Linked DNA regions of Notamacropus eugenii. The protein of the gene in region 1 purifies or fractionates together with the protein of each later gene. This does not show direct contact. Links are inferred from orthologs where the notes say so. Each region holds a gene or a part of one and is shown in the gene's direction. Other genes may lie near its edges. The genes, in order: SLC7A11 and OTUD5.

Region 1 (7,904 bases):
CTTTGTGACCACATTTGGGGTTTTCTTGGAAAAGATACTGGAGTGGTTTGCCATTTCCTTTTCAGCTCATTTTATAGATGAGGAAGCTGAGGCAAACAGGGTTAAGTGACTTGCCCAGGGTCGCACAGCTATTAAACGTCTGAGGCAGGATTTCCTGAGTCTTCTTGACTTTAGGCTGGGCACTTTATTCACTGCCCCATCTAATTATCATCATCATAATAATGTAATAATACAGTGTGCTAAGGTTTTTAAAGCACTTTGGATATTATCTAAAGAAGTAAAAAAAAAAATTAAGAAAATGCAAAGTTGAAGGCTGAAGGAATCCCCATTAAGGGCTACTACCCTGAGAGGTCCCACCTGAGATAACTTGTAATCCCTAAAAAAGAATTGCTGCTACCACCACCTGGACATTTATATAGCATGTTTAAATTTTCCAAAGCATTTGAATACTGTTATATGATATAAACCTTATGACAAACCTTCAAGATAGTATTTTCCAAACAGCATAATATATATTTTATAGATAAAAAAATGGTTCATAGAAATTAATTGGCTTGCCTAGGCAAGTATTCAAAGCAGGGATGAAAAGTATAGAACAAAACGGACCTTCTTCTGGTTCTATGAAACTCCACCAATATTTGAAAATAGCCATCACTGATACCTCAATAAGACTCATTGCTGTTTTATATCAATGTCAGATTACTCAAAATCTGGTCCATTTCCACTGAGGAAGAGGATTCCTCTTCCTATGTCAATCTCAACATTCCAAAACATATTTTTGAAAAATTTCCAAATTCCTCTTCTATTACTCCCATTAACCTGTGGAATTGTGCCACATAGTGCAGTCTGGCAGAAGAAGATGAGGCAGCTTTCCATTATACTTGTAGGTGAAACTTTCCATATGTGTTGTCTCCCCCATTACAATGTGAGCTCCTTGAAAGTAGGGACTGTATTACGTTACTATTCATATGTCCAGCACTTGGCATAGTGCTTTTCACATAGTGAGTTCTTCGTAAGGTCTTTTTTCATTCATTCATTCATTCGTTCGTTCGTTCGTTCGTTAGTTCATTCATCCATCCATCCATCCATCCATTCACTAGATATGAGGGTGCCAGTTTCCAGACTACACCAGGAAGGAAGTACATTTACATAGGATAGAGCCCCAATCTCTATACCCTAATTATGGTTGCTCAGTTTCCACACCAGGATTCTTCCTTTTCTGTCAATTGATAAACATTTGTTGATCCCCTCTTACATACCAGGCACTGTGTTAAGTGCATGAAACCTGGAGGAGTAACACTTATAGTCTGATTTTGTAGGTGGGTGGAAGGAGTCATGGTAGACGACTGCCATTAGAATCTTTGTCTAAAGTTCTGTTTTAGTGGACATTCATTTGTCCTCACTTGCCCATTTTCCTCTTGTATAGCTCTAATTGTTGAGAAGTTGGGTTTGTTTGTTCTTTGCTGATATCAAGCCTAAATTACCTCTTTGCAGCATTTATCCAACATTCTTGATTCTTGCATCTGAGATGCAGAGATTTCCAAGCCTTAGAGTTTTAAAAAAATGCCAGGTTTTGCTGTTGTATTTTTGACGTTGATTGATGGTTGATGGTCCATATATTAATGACGAATTAATCTTCTCAAAGGAATTTAGGCCAGAAGAGTTTGCAAAGTATGGAAGCAATGAAAACCTGAACTAATTCCTGGGCTACGTAAGGAAAACAGAGGCTTTTCCTTATAGAGAAAAGGGAATGGGGTTTAGACTGAGATGATCTGCATTTGAATACTGACTCTGGTGCTGAATGTTCAACACCTTGGCTACTATCTCTCTCTGAAACTCAGTTTCCACATCTGTAATGTGGAGTCAACTAGGTGGAACAGTGGATAGAGCTCTGACTCTGGACTCAGGAAGATCTGAGTTCAAAATCTGACCTCAAACACTTGCTAGTTGTGACCCTGGGCAAGTCACTTAACTTCTGCCTGCCTCAGTTTCCTTATCTGTAAAATGAGGATAATCATAGCATCTACCTTCCAGGGTTATTGTGAGGATCAGATGAAAGAATCATTGTAAAGGGCTTAGCAACAGTGCCTGGAACATACAGAGCAAGTACTTTATAAACGTTGTTATCATTATTATTAAAGGAGGGGTTTGGACAACATACTCTATATGAAAAAGATCTTCCTAAAATTCAGAACTATCTAAAAATGTGATAGGTCACCTCAAGAGTGGTGGGTTCTCCATCACTGGAGGCCTTCAAGAAGAAGCTGAATGATAACATTTTAGGTATGATAAAGAGGAAATTCTTGTACTGGTATGGGTTGACCAGATGAGATCCATTTCAATTCTTACATTGACTGGTGAATAGTATATTGGGCCTGGACTCTGAAAGACTAGGGTTTGAATCCTGCTTGTGGCACTTAGTAACTGGATTACCTTGGGCAAGTCAGTCCCCCTCTTGGAAACTCAGTTTCCCCTTTAGTGAAATGGGGCTAATGATACTCATAGTTCTGAGCTCAACTGGTTATTGCAAGATCCAAAGGAAATAATTTCTGTAAGACTTTGGTGTTTTTGCAAATCTTTTAAAAGTGTTTATGAAAAGTTATATAGTCATTTGTTGTTACTGAGATAGTCCCCTGCAGTTCTAAGTAATCTGAGCCTATGGAACTCTCTTGGGCATCTCTATGTAACACTCCAGAGGATAACTGGACAGAAGAGGGGCTGAGTGTTCTAGGACTATTGCTTGGCTTTCTCCAGCCGTCTCACTTCTCCCCTGACCTTCACACCTGTCTGACAGCTCCTCAAGCTGGTTAAGTGATAAGAGCAGAGGGATGATAATAACTTCTTCCCATTCTGGAATCCCAAACCACAGGTAACAGCAGCCAATCACTGACCTACAAGCTTGGCACCAGTTTCAGAGGCTGTTTGTTGGTAGAGGGAGATAGAGGGCTTGAAAGACCTTGCCACTTTTTAATGTTTCTTTCTGTTGAAATTCAGGGTGCCGGGGACCCCAAAATACCGATACACTGGGTCCTGTCGAATGAATTCAACTTAAGCTTTCTTTCAGTCAAAGTAAAATAAAATTTATTGAAGATTCACCATATTAGGTTGACTGTTAAGGAGTCTAACCATTTGTAATGCTGTATACAATCTGAGCTAGATTGATCCTGATTTAGATTGAATCTGAGTGCCTTCATGGAGGCAAGATGGAGCCTATATACAGAAAGACTATGGGAGGAATCTGGAGATGTCTAGTAGTCTGGGGGTTCCAGGGATGGTCCTGATTGGGGTGGTCAGCCTGGAATGTCTAGAGGTATGATCTTGATCGGAATGACCAGAATAGAGGTCAAATCTAGGCAGGATCTTGATGGGAGTGACCAGTACCCTGGGGTGACTAAACATTAAATCTAGAGGATCTTGATGGGAGTACAAAGTAGCCTGGAGAATAGGATTTTGATAGGATAAAGGTGGAGAGTAAAACAGAGATCTGGGCATGGTGATAATGAAAAACTTATGGTCCTCAGAGAATGCCAGATCAAATATGAGGAATTCAAGGAGCCCTCGGGGTGAGGCCCTCCAGGGTCCCCTAGACAAATGGGACCAAAACTCCTCTGGGCCAAGAGACAAAGATCTCAGCTTGGGCTTGTACCCTGTCATTTCCGTGTGAATTTTTTTTTTTTAAATCAAAGCAAATTCTGAAAATCTGATTATAACTTTCTCCACCCTGACCTCCTCACAATACACTTAGTAGTTGTGGGCAAGTTGGTACCCCTCTTGGAAAGTTTTCTCATCTGTGAAATGGGACTGAAAATACTTGTAGTTCTGATCTCAGAGGAGTATTGCAAAACCCAAAAGGATACAATGGATATAGAGAATTCCAAACACCTTCCACTAAGGAAAGTCTACAACTGAGCAGTGAGTTGATTTGCTTAAGGTAATAACATTTTATGCAGCAGCCTAAACTTGAACCTAAGTCTCTTTTCCCCCCTCAATTTTCTTATCTGTATAATGAGATGGAGAAGGAAATGGCAAGCCACTCCAAGGTCTTTTCCAAGAAAACCCCAAATAGGATCGGGAAGATTCTGACAGGACTGAAATGACTGAACAACCACAAAGCAGTAGTCTTTGCAGCCTCTACAACTAACTTCAGGGAACAAAAATGCCCTGAGGGATGTCAATTTCAGCAAAAATAATTCTCTTTAGGAAATCACCAAGTAACTTGGAAATCTGAGAATGATTCTCGTTGGGGTAACTGTGGTTTTTAAACGTAGTCATATTCTCGTGGATCACACCTTCGCAAGGCGAAAATGTAAGTGTATTGTCAGAGCAAAATGAAAAAATCCCTCCCTTCCCTCAGTATGAGCCACAATCCCCTTCAAGAAGAAGAAGGTGCGGAAAAACTCTCTCTCTCCCTCTCTCCCTCTCACTCTCTCTCCCTCTCTCCCTCTCTCTCTCTGTCTCTCTCTCTCCCCACCTACAAGATAGATTTGCTTATGTTGCTAGGCAACCAAAAGTTTTCTTTTCTTTCTTTTTTTTTTTTTTAAGGAAGTAAAAAAAAGGTGTGCATGGGGGGTCGCACTTTGGGTGACTAATGCAGCTTGATGTTCCCTTCAACTTTTGGCTGCTTCATGAAAGAGGTGTGGGTGCGTGCGTGTGCATGGGGAAGGGAGGGGTGGCGATCCCAGATAAAAATGAAGTAGATGTTTCCTGTTTGGTGTTTCATTTTCTTTCTGTTTGAGGAGCCTTGGGGCCTCCCTGAGTGTTACTCTCCACCTCTGGGAGGGTCTCTGTGGGTTTCCTCCCTCTGGATTGGCTCCTGAGGCCTTTTAAGTGAAGGCTTTGTTCTCTGCAAAGCGCAGGTCAGTTGGGCTACACGCTGCCACTGTTTGGGGAAAGGAGAAAAAAAAGAGCTGAGTAATGCTGAAGCCTTCTCCTGTGGCTGATGCAAACCTGGAGAATTTGCATCATCACTGAGCTGGAGTGAGTTGGTGTGACAGAAGCTTAAATACGGGCGCTGGAGGGAGCTGAGCTAGGTTCTAATGACAGGGCAGTAGCAGCAGCAGCGAGGGGCAGAACGGAAGGGTCCGGGCTGCCATGGGAAAGGCACAGGTGCTCTGGAGGAGGCATTAGGGAGGCGGGAAGCGTAAAACACACCTTTTGAAGGTCCATACCTGTGAACCCTAGAGCAGCGTGAAAGGCTACCAGGACAGGAAAACAGTTCGAACTCAGTCTGATCAGGGAGACCAGACCTTGTTTTCAAAGTTTTTCTCCTCCTGCTTCTCGCCTTTCTCGTTCTCCTGGTCCTCCTCTTCCTCCTCATCTTTCTTCTTTTCCTCTCCTTCCTTCTTCTCGTCTTTCTCTCTTTTTCTGTATTTTTTGCTTTTTGCTTTTTATTTTTCCCCTTGAGTTTGGCAGAATCCCACTATGGTCAAGAAGCCAGTGATGCCCTCCATTTCCAATGGAGACTACCTCCAGGGGGATGCTCAAGGTCACTTGACCTCCAGGGGCAGCAAAGAGGCCCCCGAGCAGGCTAAGATGGTGCTGAAGAAAAAAATCACGCTGCTGAGGGGCATCTCCATCATCATTGGCACTATCATCGGGGCTGGCATCTTCATCTCCCCCAAAGGAGTTCTCCAAAACACGGGCACCGTAGGCATGTCTCTGATCGTCTGGACGGTCTGTGGGCTCGTGTCTCTGTTTGGTGAGTTTATGTTTAAAATTGGAGTCCCTTGAGGGTATGTGTGTGGGAGGCTGCTACTGGGCATGCAGCTTGGCATGCTGATTTGGGAGGTGAGTGGCTGGTCTGCTAGTAGAATTAGAGTAGAAGTAGAGGAGAGTGGTAATGAGGAGAAATCATTCAAGTCATCTAGGAGTTTCTGGATGACTTGAATAGTCCCCTCTTTTCCTTCCCCAACCTCCTTTATTTCCCTTTCCTGATGAAGAGAAAATCTTTTCATTTCTTTATAGTGATGGAAATAAGCACTCATTTTTATTGCCTATAAAAAGGCAAGCACTGGACATTTGTGCTTGTCTGGGCAATGCTAGGGCTGAGCCCCTGAAGCCTCTGTGAATTGTAAAATCTGGTTGGCCTAGTTACATTCAGTGCTGAGTTGTCCAACAGTTTTCCTGACTTCTTATTGGTGAAACAAATGGTAAGGCAGTGCTTTTCCTTAAAACACTAACACAGACACACAAACAGACATACACACAGACACACACCCCACCTTCATGGGCCTGACTTTTCCGTGTGAGCCACTGAACTGTAGAAAGATATGGCAGGACATACCATGAGGAATTCTGCCCTTGCATCAGTCAAGGATATGATTAGTATGTTATAACTTTTCATATCCAACCTCCTCCCACCTCAATTATCTTCTGCTTAAATATTGAGCTTGGTTGGGTGCGGGTCTAAGCAGTTTATTCAGTCATTTTTTTCACTTGTGCCAGTTTGTTGACGTCCTAAAGTTTGATAAGATGTCCTCAGAGAAACTTAATGAACCTGGAAAAGAAGCTTCCTCCCCCAATTCAGATGGCTGCATTAAAAGCCTATTTAAAGAATAATGGACAACACCAAAAGATACCTACTCAAGACTCAAACAAAAAAAAGTATCATTCAGAGTTTTTGTTAAATGTCAGGCCCCTACAGTTATCTGTGGCCTAAATGATGAGCTAGGTTGGATGGGAGTCTAAGGGGTATACCCAAGCCTCATTTTCTTCCCCTGTGTCCATCTGTTGTTCCAAAGAGTTTGGTGACAAGATTACCTTAGTGAAACTCAATGAAATTGTTCCAAATTTTAATTAAGTGTCAGATCCATACAGTGTCATCTGTATTGGTCCAGTACATGAGGCAGTACCAGTTAATCATCTGACCAGGAATAGAAAGCTAAATCTACCCATTTTAAGCAAGGTAAGTCCTAAATAAGCTTGTTTAAGGATCAAGGAGAGTATATTCTGATTCCGGAAGATTCAGAAGAAAGATCACTTGGAAGTAGAGTCAGAAAACATGGCTCCTAGTACTACGCATGTGGTCTTGGGGAAGCTACTTGACTTCCTTTGGGCCTCAGTTTTCCTAATCTTTAAAAGAAGGGAGTTAGACTAGATCAGGGGGTGGGGAACCTGTGGCCTTGGACCACCTATCGATTTCTAGGTCCTTTGGTGGCCAGCCTTTTGACTGAGTCTAAGTTTTACAGTTTTACTAAAGGGATTTATTCTGTAAAGTTTGGATTCAGTCCAAGGGCCACATTTGAGGACCTAGAGGGCCACATGTGGCCTGGAGGTCTCAGGTTTCCCACCCCTGCACTAGATGATCTCTAAGGTCCCTTCTAGCTTTGACTTTGATCCTGTGAAGGTTCTGACCTTACCACTACAAAGCAGTTATTCTGTCTTAGAATAAACGCTAAGTCAATTTTCTTAGGGTTTTCCTGACTCATTCATATTTTTTCTGGACTCTCAAATATCTCATTCCAATGATTTTTCTATTCAACTTCAGAACTCGAGTTACATTATAAGGAAATTTACATAGATGTAAAACCAGTTGACTGGATCCATAGCTCTGCCATTAAACCAAGGAGTGGAGTCTTCTAGGACAAATTTATAAAGAGTTAGGTTTCCTTTCTCTTCCTTGCTTACTTCTTCCTACCAGCTAGTCTTTTACCTTACCATTAGTTTCATTTATTTTTCTTTTGGTCTGGAACTGTGACTTTTGCATTGTAAGCAGTTTTTGCTGGGGAAACTCTACCAATTCAAATCAGCCACTTGTGATCTCATGGCTTTGTCTGAGATGCTGAAGTTAAGTGACTTGACCATGGTCACAGGGTCACCACAGCAGTATATTAGAGGAAGAATTTCAGGCCAGGTCTCTCAGCCTCCAAGGGCAGTTCTCTTTCTATTACAGCCTGTCTATCTCA
Region 2 (7,233 bases), on another chromosome or scaffold:
GGCCTGGAGGTGGGGTGCCGCCCTGGGCACAGGGCTCTGAAAGCTGGCCAGGGGAGGGGGCAAGGAATAGGGCTTTGCTGCTGAGGTGGCTCACCTGATGCTCTGCCTGTGCGCCCTAGGACCAAGATGGGGCCGAACAGCCAGCACTGAGCACACGAAGCCGCTCAGCTTTTGAACAGCAGCACCATCATCTTTTGCACTGTCTGGAGAAGACCACAGTGAGATCCTTCTCTCTCTGTCTCCCTGCTGACCCCTTCCCATTGCCCAAAAGCCATCTCTGGAATCCTGAGTCCTTTCTTTGTGCCCTGCTCAGGCTCTTGGCCTCCCTGTCTGTGCTCCCTCCTCCTTTGGGTCCTGCCTGCCATTGCTTGTTCCCCTAAGGCTCTAAATACCCCCTGATGCTAACTCTCCTCTCTCTCTCTCTCTCTCTCTCTCTCTCTCTCTCTCTCTCTCTCTCTCTCTCTCTCTCTACGTCTCTTCTCTCCCCCCAGTCACATGAGTTCACAGATGAGTCTACCTTCAGTGAAGCACTGGGAGTCATTTCCCTGGGTGGCCGCACCAGCCGCAGCACCTCTGTGTCTTCCCAGGCTGTCATGGGAACCAGCGCTCGGACTAGCAGTCTGATCTCTTCCTGCTGCCCCCGACGGACCAAGCAGCGCCGGGCCATTCGCTTGGCCAACTCCACTGCCTCTGTCAGCCGAGGCAGTATGCAGGAGCTGGACACTCTCGCTGGGCACCATAGCCCAGGACCCCAGAGGTAATGTGGCCTCCATTACTTGGGGCCAGGAAGCGAAGATTTGGGTAGGGGGCCCTAGGTGCCACAGGTGCAGATAAAGCTGAATGCAATCCCACTAAGATAAGATTTTAGAGGGCAGCGTGCAATGGCGCGCCCTTTCACAGCCCAGGGACTCAAGACATTTACCCTGGAAGGAATCTCAGTTATCATTCAGTCTCCCATTTTATGGATAAGGAAATTGAGGCTTATGGGTTAGACTGCCTCACCCAAGGTGGTGGATCTTGGATCCTACCCCAAGACCCTCTCTCCCTTTCTGCTTCCATCCACCAGCCGAGCCAGCCTCAATGCCAAGACTCATGACAGCCTGACTCTGAATTGTGACAGTCAGGACCTGGTGGCAGCCATCATCAGCATCCCCACCCCCCCAGCAAACACCCCAGATGAGAGCCAACCACATTCGCCTGCCAGTGACAGTGGGAAGGGGCCTGGAAGACCCTCTGGGGGCAGCAGCAGTAACAGGGGGGCTGTCCAAAACTCCAGCCTGGGCCCTTCTGATATTCCTCACAACACTGTCAAAATCTCCTCCCTGTGATTGAGGGGGCTTCACCCCTCCTTTGGGGCATTGGTTCCCCACCTTGGGTGTCTCCCTGTTTTGTTTTCAAAGCCATATTTGGATGGGGCAAAGTGTGAGGAAGATGAGGGGCACACTGGGGGGGGGGGCGGCATCTCAGCCCCTGTGATCTCCACTGCCCCTGAACAGGACAATCTTGTAGTGCAATGGAGTATGTATGTGTGTGTGTGGGGGGGGGAGGAATGGAGAACCAAAGCTCCGCTCGTGTCCCCTCTTCTCTGTTCTCTAGAGACATGGACATCAGTAGCTGGGAAGCCAGAGGGTGAGTCCTATTCTTGGGACCTGTCACAGACCAGGAAAGGAACCTGGTTGTCAGGGTGGATTCAGGTCTTGGCCTATATGTTCTCCATCCTTTGTCTCTGGGATCTTTCACCTGCTGAAATGGTGGCAGGTGGACCCAGGTATCTTGGGAGGGGCAAGTGTGCTTGCTTAGCACATCTGGAGGATATCACCATGTAGGCTAGCAGAGGCTGACTGAGAGATGTGGTCTCTGTCTCCTGCCCCTCCTCCTCAGCTGTCTCCTCAGAGCTTCACCCTGGGCAATGTTACCAGACTGCTGTGTCCTTGGTGAATGTCCAGAGAGATTTCCCTTCTCCATCTGGAGGACAGGTGACTGAGTGGGACAGTGAGGGGGAGTCTCCCCCTACCTCCTCATCTCATCCTCAGTATGGAGAGAAGAGCAGAAAGGCACCTGCAGGGGCTCAGCTCCCAAACATCTGACCTTCTGGTGACCCCCCCAATGACATAGGAAGCAATAGCTCTCAGCCTAGCTGTTTGATGCCCTTGAGATCCAGCTGAATTCTTGTGAGATAACTAAGGGCAGCAGGCCAGGAGGAGGAGGTGCTTTAGGGTCTCTCCTCAGTAGCTGCAGAGCTCTTAGAGCCTGCCTCAGTTTCCCTTCTAGATCCCCTCCATCAGCTGGGCTTCTCTGCCTGCCTACCTGCTTGCCTCTCTCCTGGCACGTCTCAGGTTTTCCCACCTGCCCCATGCTTGAAGCCAGTGCCCTACTGGATGCAGTTTAAACCAATAAAAACCCACACAACAAACCAAAGGAGACCTTGGCCCACAAGTGGGGGATGGGGGGGTGGGGGTTGGAGCAATACGGGGTGCTGAACTGGAGGTGACATCAGAAAGGACTTGAGTTGGGTTCCACCAACCACCTTCTTTCCCAATCTGGGTCTCAACTTGGTTATCTGGGAGATGGGTCTGATCTCTGCTTCCCCTGCCATTCCAGCGTGGGCTACCTAGCCTGCCCCAGGGGATGGTGGGAAAGCACGAACCGAAATGTCCTTGCTGATCCACCCAGAGAGAGGTCTGGGAGGCGGAGCCAACTGTAGAAAGTTCGGCGAGGAAATGAGGGTGGTTTTGTGAACCCCCAGAGGTGCCTGAGCTTTTCAAGGGGGACGCGGAGGGAAGTTCTGGCCACCAAAGCAAAGTCAAGGCTGACTGGCACCCAAGATGGGGTAGGCGCCCAGTCCGACCTGAAGGGAGCGGGTATTAACATCATGGTGGCCGAGGCAGCATTTCGGGTGGGGAGGGGATATGGACCAAGAGAAAAGCCCGCAGTCCCCGGAGTGCGAGGTGGGGCGGGGGTGAGGACGGGCCAGGTCGCAGGACAGAGACCTCGGCTACCAGTAGGCGGCAGCATGGACCGCGGAATGCCAAAGATGGCTGTGCGCGCATGGGATGGAGGAAGGGGAACGGGCGGAGGCGGGGCGAGTTTCTCGTTTGACTGACAGCCAAGGTTGAGCAATGAGAGGGTTAGGAGAGCCGAATGCCCCGGCCCGCGCGTCTCGGCGGGGGAGATTGGCGGGGAGGGGGGAAAGGGGAGGAGGGCTGGGGTGATTGACAGGAGGGGAAGGGCGGCGGCATGGGGCGGAAGTGACGGCGCGGGGGCTCGTAGGAGACGCGCTGTGGCAAGTCGCCAAACGAGGAGGAGCAGGCGCCCGTGGAGCGATTGCTCTTTCCTCCCACTGCGCCTTCTCTCAGGCCCTCGGCCGGGGAAGTCGCAAAGGCCTTCGTGCCCTCCGCCGCTCTCCGAGACGGGAACACGAGGTCCGGACTTAGCTCACCCCTCCGGGTACACTGCCCGCCATCCTCGACGGGGGCGGGGCAGAGTGGAAAGGGAGGGGGCCAGGCTCTCCTCCGCGGTCAAGTGCGTCTGCGCGCCCCGCGGGGGCTGGCCCGCCGCGTCGGGGTGTTTGTTTTTGTCAGTCACCTGGTGGAGCGGGGCGGGGCCTGCAGCCCCGGGAGTCGGGAGTGAGAGGAAGAGGAAAAGCCAGCGGCGGTTGCGGGGCTCGCGCCCCGCCCCCCTCCTTAGCCTCTTGTGCCGACCAGTCGGTCCCCGACTCGCGCGCTCAGCTCGCGGCACGCAGCGGACAGGGCCTTACCCTTGCCAGGGTTCGCTCCCCGGGTAGCCCCCTCCCCTTGGGCTCGCCTCGCCTCGCCTCTGCCCCCTCCCCATCCGGGGCCTGCGCCGGGCCCCGCCCCTCCTCATCCGGGTCCTAGGGCCCTCGCTCCGCCCCTTCTCCCTTCAGTTTCCCGGGGTCCGCCGGCTCTTTTCCGGCCTCCGCTCGCCTGGCCTTGCCCTTCCTTTCCTTTCCTTCCCTTCCGTGCCCTGCCTTTCCCGCCGCCGCCTCCAGTTCCTTCCGCTCCCGGCCCAGGCAGCGGCGGCCAGGAAGAGGAGGGGGCCCGTTCGCCGCTACAGCTCCGCGGGGCCCGTCGGCTCCCCAGCCCCCGGCCCCCGGCCCGGCCTGGCTCCGGCCCGGCCCCGGCGGCCCTGAGGGGGCGTCGGAGCCGGAGCCGCTGAGCCGCAAGCTCCGGCCCAGGCCGAGCGTGCGCCCGCCGGCGCCATGACCATCCTCCCCAAGAAGAAGCCGCCGCCGCCGCCCGGGCCGCCGCCCGCCGGCTCGGACGCCGACTCCGGCCCGGACGGCGAGCCTGGCGGCGGGCCCGGCGGCCCGGGCGGCGGTGGACCCGGCGGCCCGGGCGGTGGCGAGGGCGTTCCGGGCGCCGGGCCGTCTTCGGGCGGCCGCTCGCGTGCCTCGCCGCCGCCGCTGGCGCGATGGGCCTCGGGCGCGGGCTCCGCGGCTTCCCGGCCGCAGGCCTCGCCGCCGCCCCCGGGCCCCGGGGGGCCGGCCTCAGCCGGGGCCGCCGACGCTCTCGGCCTGGGGCTGGGCCTGGGCGCCGTGGGCGGCCCCGGCGGCGGCCCCGGCGGCGGCTGCTGCTCGGGCCCGGGCCACAGCAAGAGGCGGCGGCAGCAGGCAGGCCCCTGCGGCAACCCCGGCGGGCCTCCGGGCGGTGGCGTCGGCGGCGTGGGCTCGGGCGCGGGGGGCAGCCCCGAGCGGGACGAAGGCGGCGCGGGCTACAACAGCGAGGACGAGTACGACACGGCGGCGGCCCGGGTGGAGGCTATGGACCCGGCCACGGTGGAGCAGGTATGGCCCGGGGAGGGGCCCCCGCGTCTTCGATCGTTTGCCCGGCCCTCTCCTCTTTGTTCGATCCGGTGGGGAGTTTATGAGGCCCAAGCGCCCCCCCCCCCGCCCCCCCCCACCGTCTCGGTCCTGCTTCCGGGTCTTGGCTCGCTCCATCTTTTCTTCTCGGGCCACCTCTGCTCCCTTCTTACGCCATGCCTGCCCCCCCCCCCCCACCTCGGGCCTTTTCGGATTCCTTGTTACTTCCCTGCGCTCCCCTTTCCCCCCGCTTTTCGAATTTTACCCTTTCTTTCCTAGGCCCCAGCCCTCTGATTTTTAATCCCTTACCCCCCCATTCTAGAGTCTCCTGGCTTTTCTGATTCCGTCCTTGCCCCCCTGCTCTTATTCATTCTTGGTTCCCCCCCCAGCTTTTTTCACCCTTTGCCCTATCCTGCCCTCACCCCATTTTCTTGATCCCCAGCCCCCCGTTGCTGCTTTTCTTGCCTCTTTCCTTTGCCCCCCCCTTGATTTTCTTACTCCTTGGGGCATGCCCCCCAATCCCTGGAGACCCCCCTGCTTTTATTCTATTTCTGATCCCCCCACCCTCGCTTTTCTTACCCCATCTTTCCTTCTCGTTCCCCCATGGAGCCCTGTTTCTGCTTTCTTTTGTAATTTTTCTCCCCAAAAGTGCTCCTCTTTTCTTCCTCTTTCTCCAGGACCTTTTCCTGCCTACCTACCTTCCCCTATTCCTTCCTGGTTCCCCTTCTCTTCCCATGATTCTTCAGGCCAAGCAGGGAAAGGGGAGAATGGTGGCTGGAGGCTACTGGGTCTCTGTAGTCCTTCTGGACCTCAGCGATGGGCATAGGTGCTGTCCTGTATCTTCTCCACTATTTTGGAGGCTCCTGAGGACAGGACTGGCTGGCAGAACTCTGTTCTTCCATTTCCAGTGCACTCCTTGTCTGAGAGATGAGGATGAAGCAGATGTCAGGGTGACCTGGCTCCGAGTCCTGTTAGTGCCTCTGTGGCCTTGCCCAGCTCTTTAAAGTCTCCAGAATTCTTAGCTAGTACTCCTGGAGAAACCTTCCATAGTCCGGGAGCTGCTTTGAGTCTCTCCTGCCAAGAACCCAGACTTAAGGAAGCCTGACTCCCATGCATATGGATGGCCAGGCCTTCAGGTGAACATTTGCATGCTGGAGAAGGCCATGGGGGGCCCCAAGGACCTGCTGACCAGCAAGTTGGGGCAACCCTAAAATGCGCACCTTCAGCACAGCTGGCCAAGATATCTTGGGAGAGAGCTGGTGCATCTCCTTTCTGTTGGGGGACTGAGAAGGGGGAGGGGGGGACTAAGGTGTTTAAGAAGAGAGAGGCTCCACTGGGAGTGCCCTGAGGCCCAGGATTTCTACTTGTCAGCTGAATTTGAGGAAACTTTTCTTTCCTGAGCTACTTCTTTGGGGGAACGGAGGAGTTGGGGCCCCCTTTTAGTTGTAACTGGTCCAGTGCACAGAGCACAAGACCCAAAAAACTAGAATCCAGCATCAGATGATTCAGGCAAGACTTCTTTTGTGCTGGACTTGTGTCCGTCTCAGTTTCTCTGTAAAATGGGGATGATAATAATATCTACCTCCTAGAATGATTCTGAAGATCCTCTGGTCTCCAGAGCGCTTGGTACTTAGTAGGTGCTTTGTAACTGCTTGCTCCTTCCCTGTGGGGGCTTTTGTCCTGGGTCAGGACTGGGCCCAAGTTTGCTGCCTGGCCTTTGGGTGTGGGGTGGCAGAGGGGTACAAGGATGTAAGAAGAAAGGCAGGAGAGGAGCTCCAGGGACTAAGAGGAACCATTTGCCTTGTTGGAGAAGCACCCCTCCCCAACTTGGATTCTCTGTTCCATTCTCCCTCCCTGAGCAAGTTCTGGTCACCTAGCAAGGACTGCTTCCGGCCTCCCGAGTGGGCTTCTCACCTTCACTGCCTGCAAGGCCACTGTGGGCAAAGGAAAGGGGGGGGGGGGGCAAGTACCCTGAAGCTAACTGCTCTTGGTGCCCTTCGCCCACGTCCAGGCCTGGCCCAGAGCCCAACCAACGACTTCTGGGGACACTGGACTTTTTTTTTTCTTGTGCCAGATACCAGGTGTCAGCAGGGTGTAGGGGGAGGGCGATGCTTCACACCGGCCAGTGTACATGTCTGTGCCCCCTACCCTCTCACTTCACCAAAAGTACCCCCACGGGGGAAAGAAGTTGGCTTGCCCACTTGGACTGCTGTGCCCAGGGCCTACATGGCTCTCCTCTTTGCTAAGCAGCAATGCAGGGCCAAGACACTTGTCTGTGGCTGTCATACCACATGCCCAGCACCCACACACAGCTCTGCAGCACCTTGGTCACTGGTCAGGGTCTCCCAGGAGTTGGGATGCTTCCTATATTGTAGGCTATTTGGGTTGTAGCTTAGGGCCTCATGGGAGATGGC

Evidence for each region.
Region 2: the proteins of SLC7A11 (region 1) and OTUD5 purify together in Homo sapiens (affinity purification with western blotting; 3 studies listed by BioGRID, with this or other methods). This does not show direct contact. The link is inferred for Notamacropus eugenii from reciprocal best matches to the Homo sapiens genes SLC7A11 and OTUD5.

The regions. Positions count from the first base shown.
Region 1 is NC_092877.1:134,703,209-134,711,112, reverse strand, and holds the start of SLC7A11 (cystine/glutamate transporter), read left to right. Parts: upstream 1-4,852; 5' UTR 4,853-4,977; intron 4,978-5,412; 5' UTR 5,413-5,421; coding exon 5,422-5,698; intron 5,699-7,904. UniProt on the Homo sapiens protein: Heterodimer with SLC3A2, that functions as an antiporter by mediating the exchange of extracellular anionic L-cystine and intracellular L-glutamate across the cellular plasma membrane.
Region 2 is NC_092879.1:102,138,337-102,145,569, reverse strand, and holds the start of OTUD5 (OTU domain-containing protein 5), read left to right. Parts: upstream 1-4,087; 5' UTR 4,088-4,219; coding exon 4,220-4,804; intron 4,805-7,233. Other genes in the region: A-type voltage-gated potassium channel KCND1, read left to right, coding at 1-9, 120-218, 492-757, 1,067-1,328. UniProt on the Homo sapiens protein: Deubiquitinating enzyme that functions as a negative regulator of the innate immune system. Has peptidase activity towards 'Lys-48'- and 'Lys-63'-linked polyubiquitin chains. Can also cleave 'Lys-11'-linked ubiquitin chains (in vitro).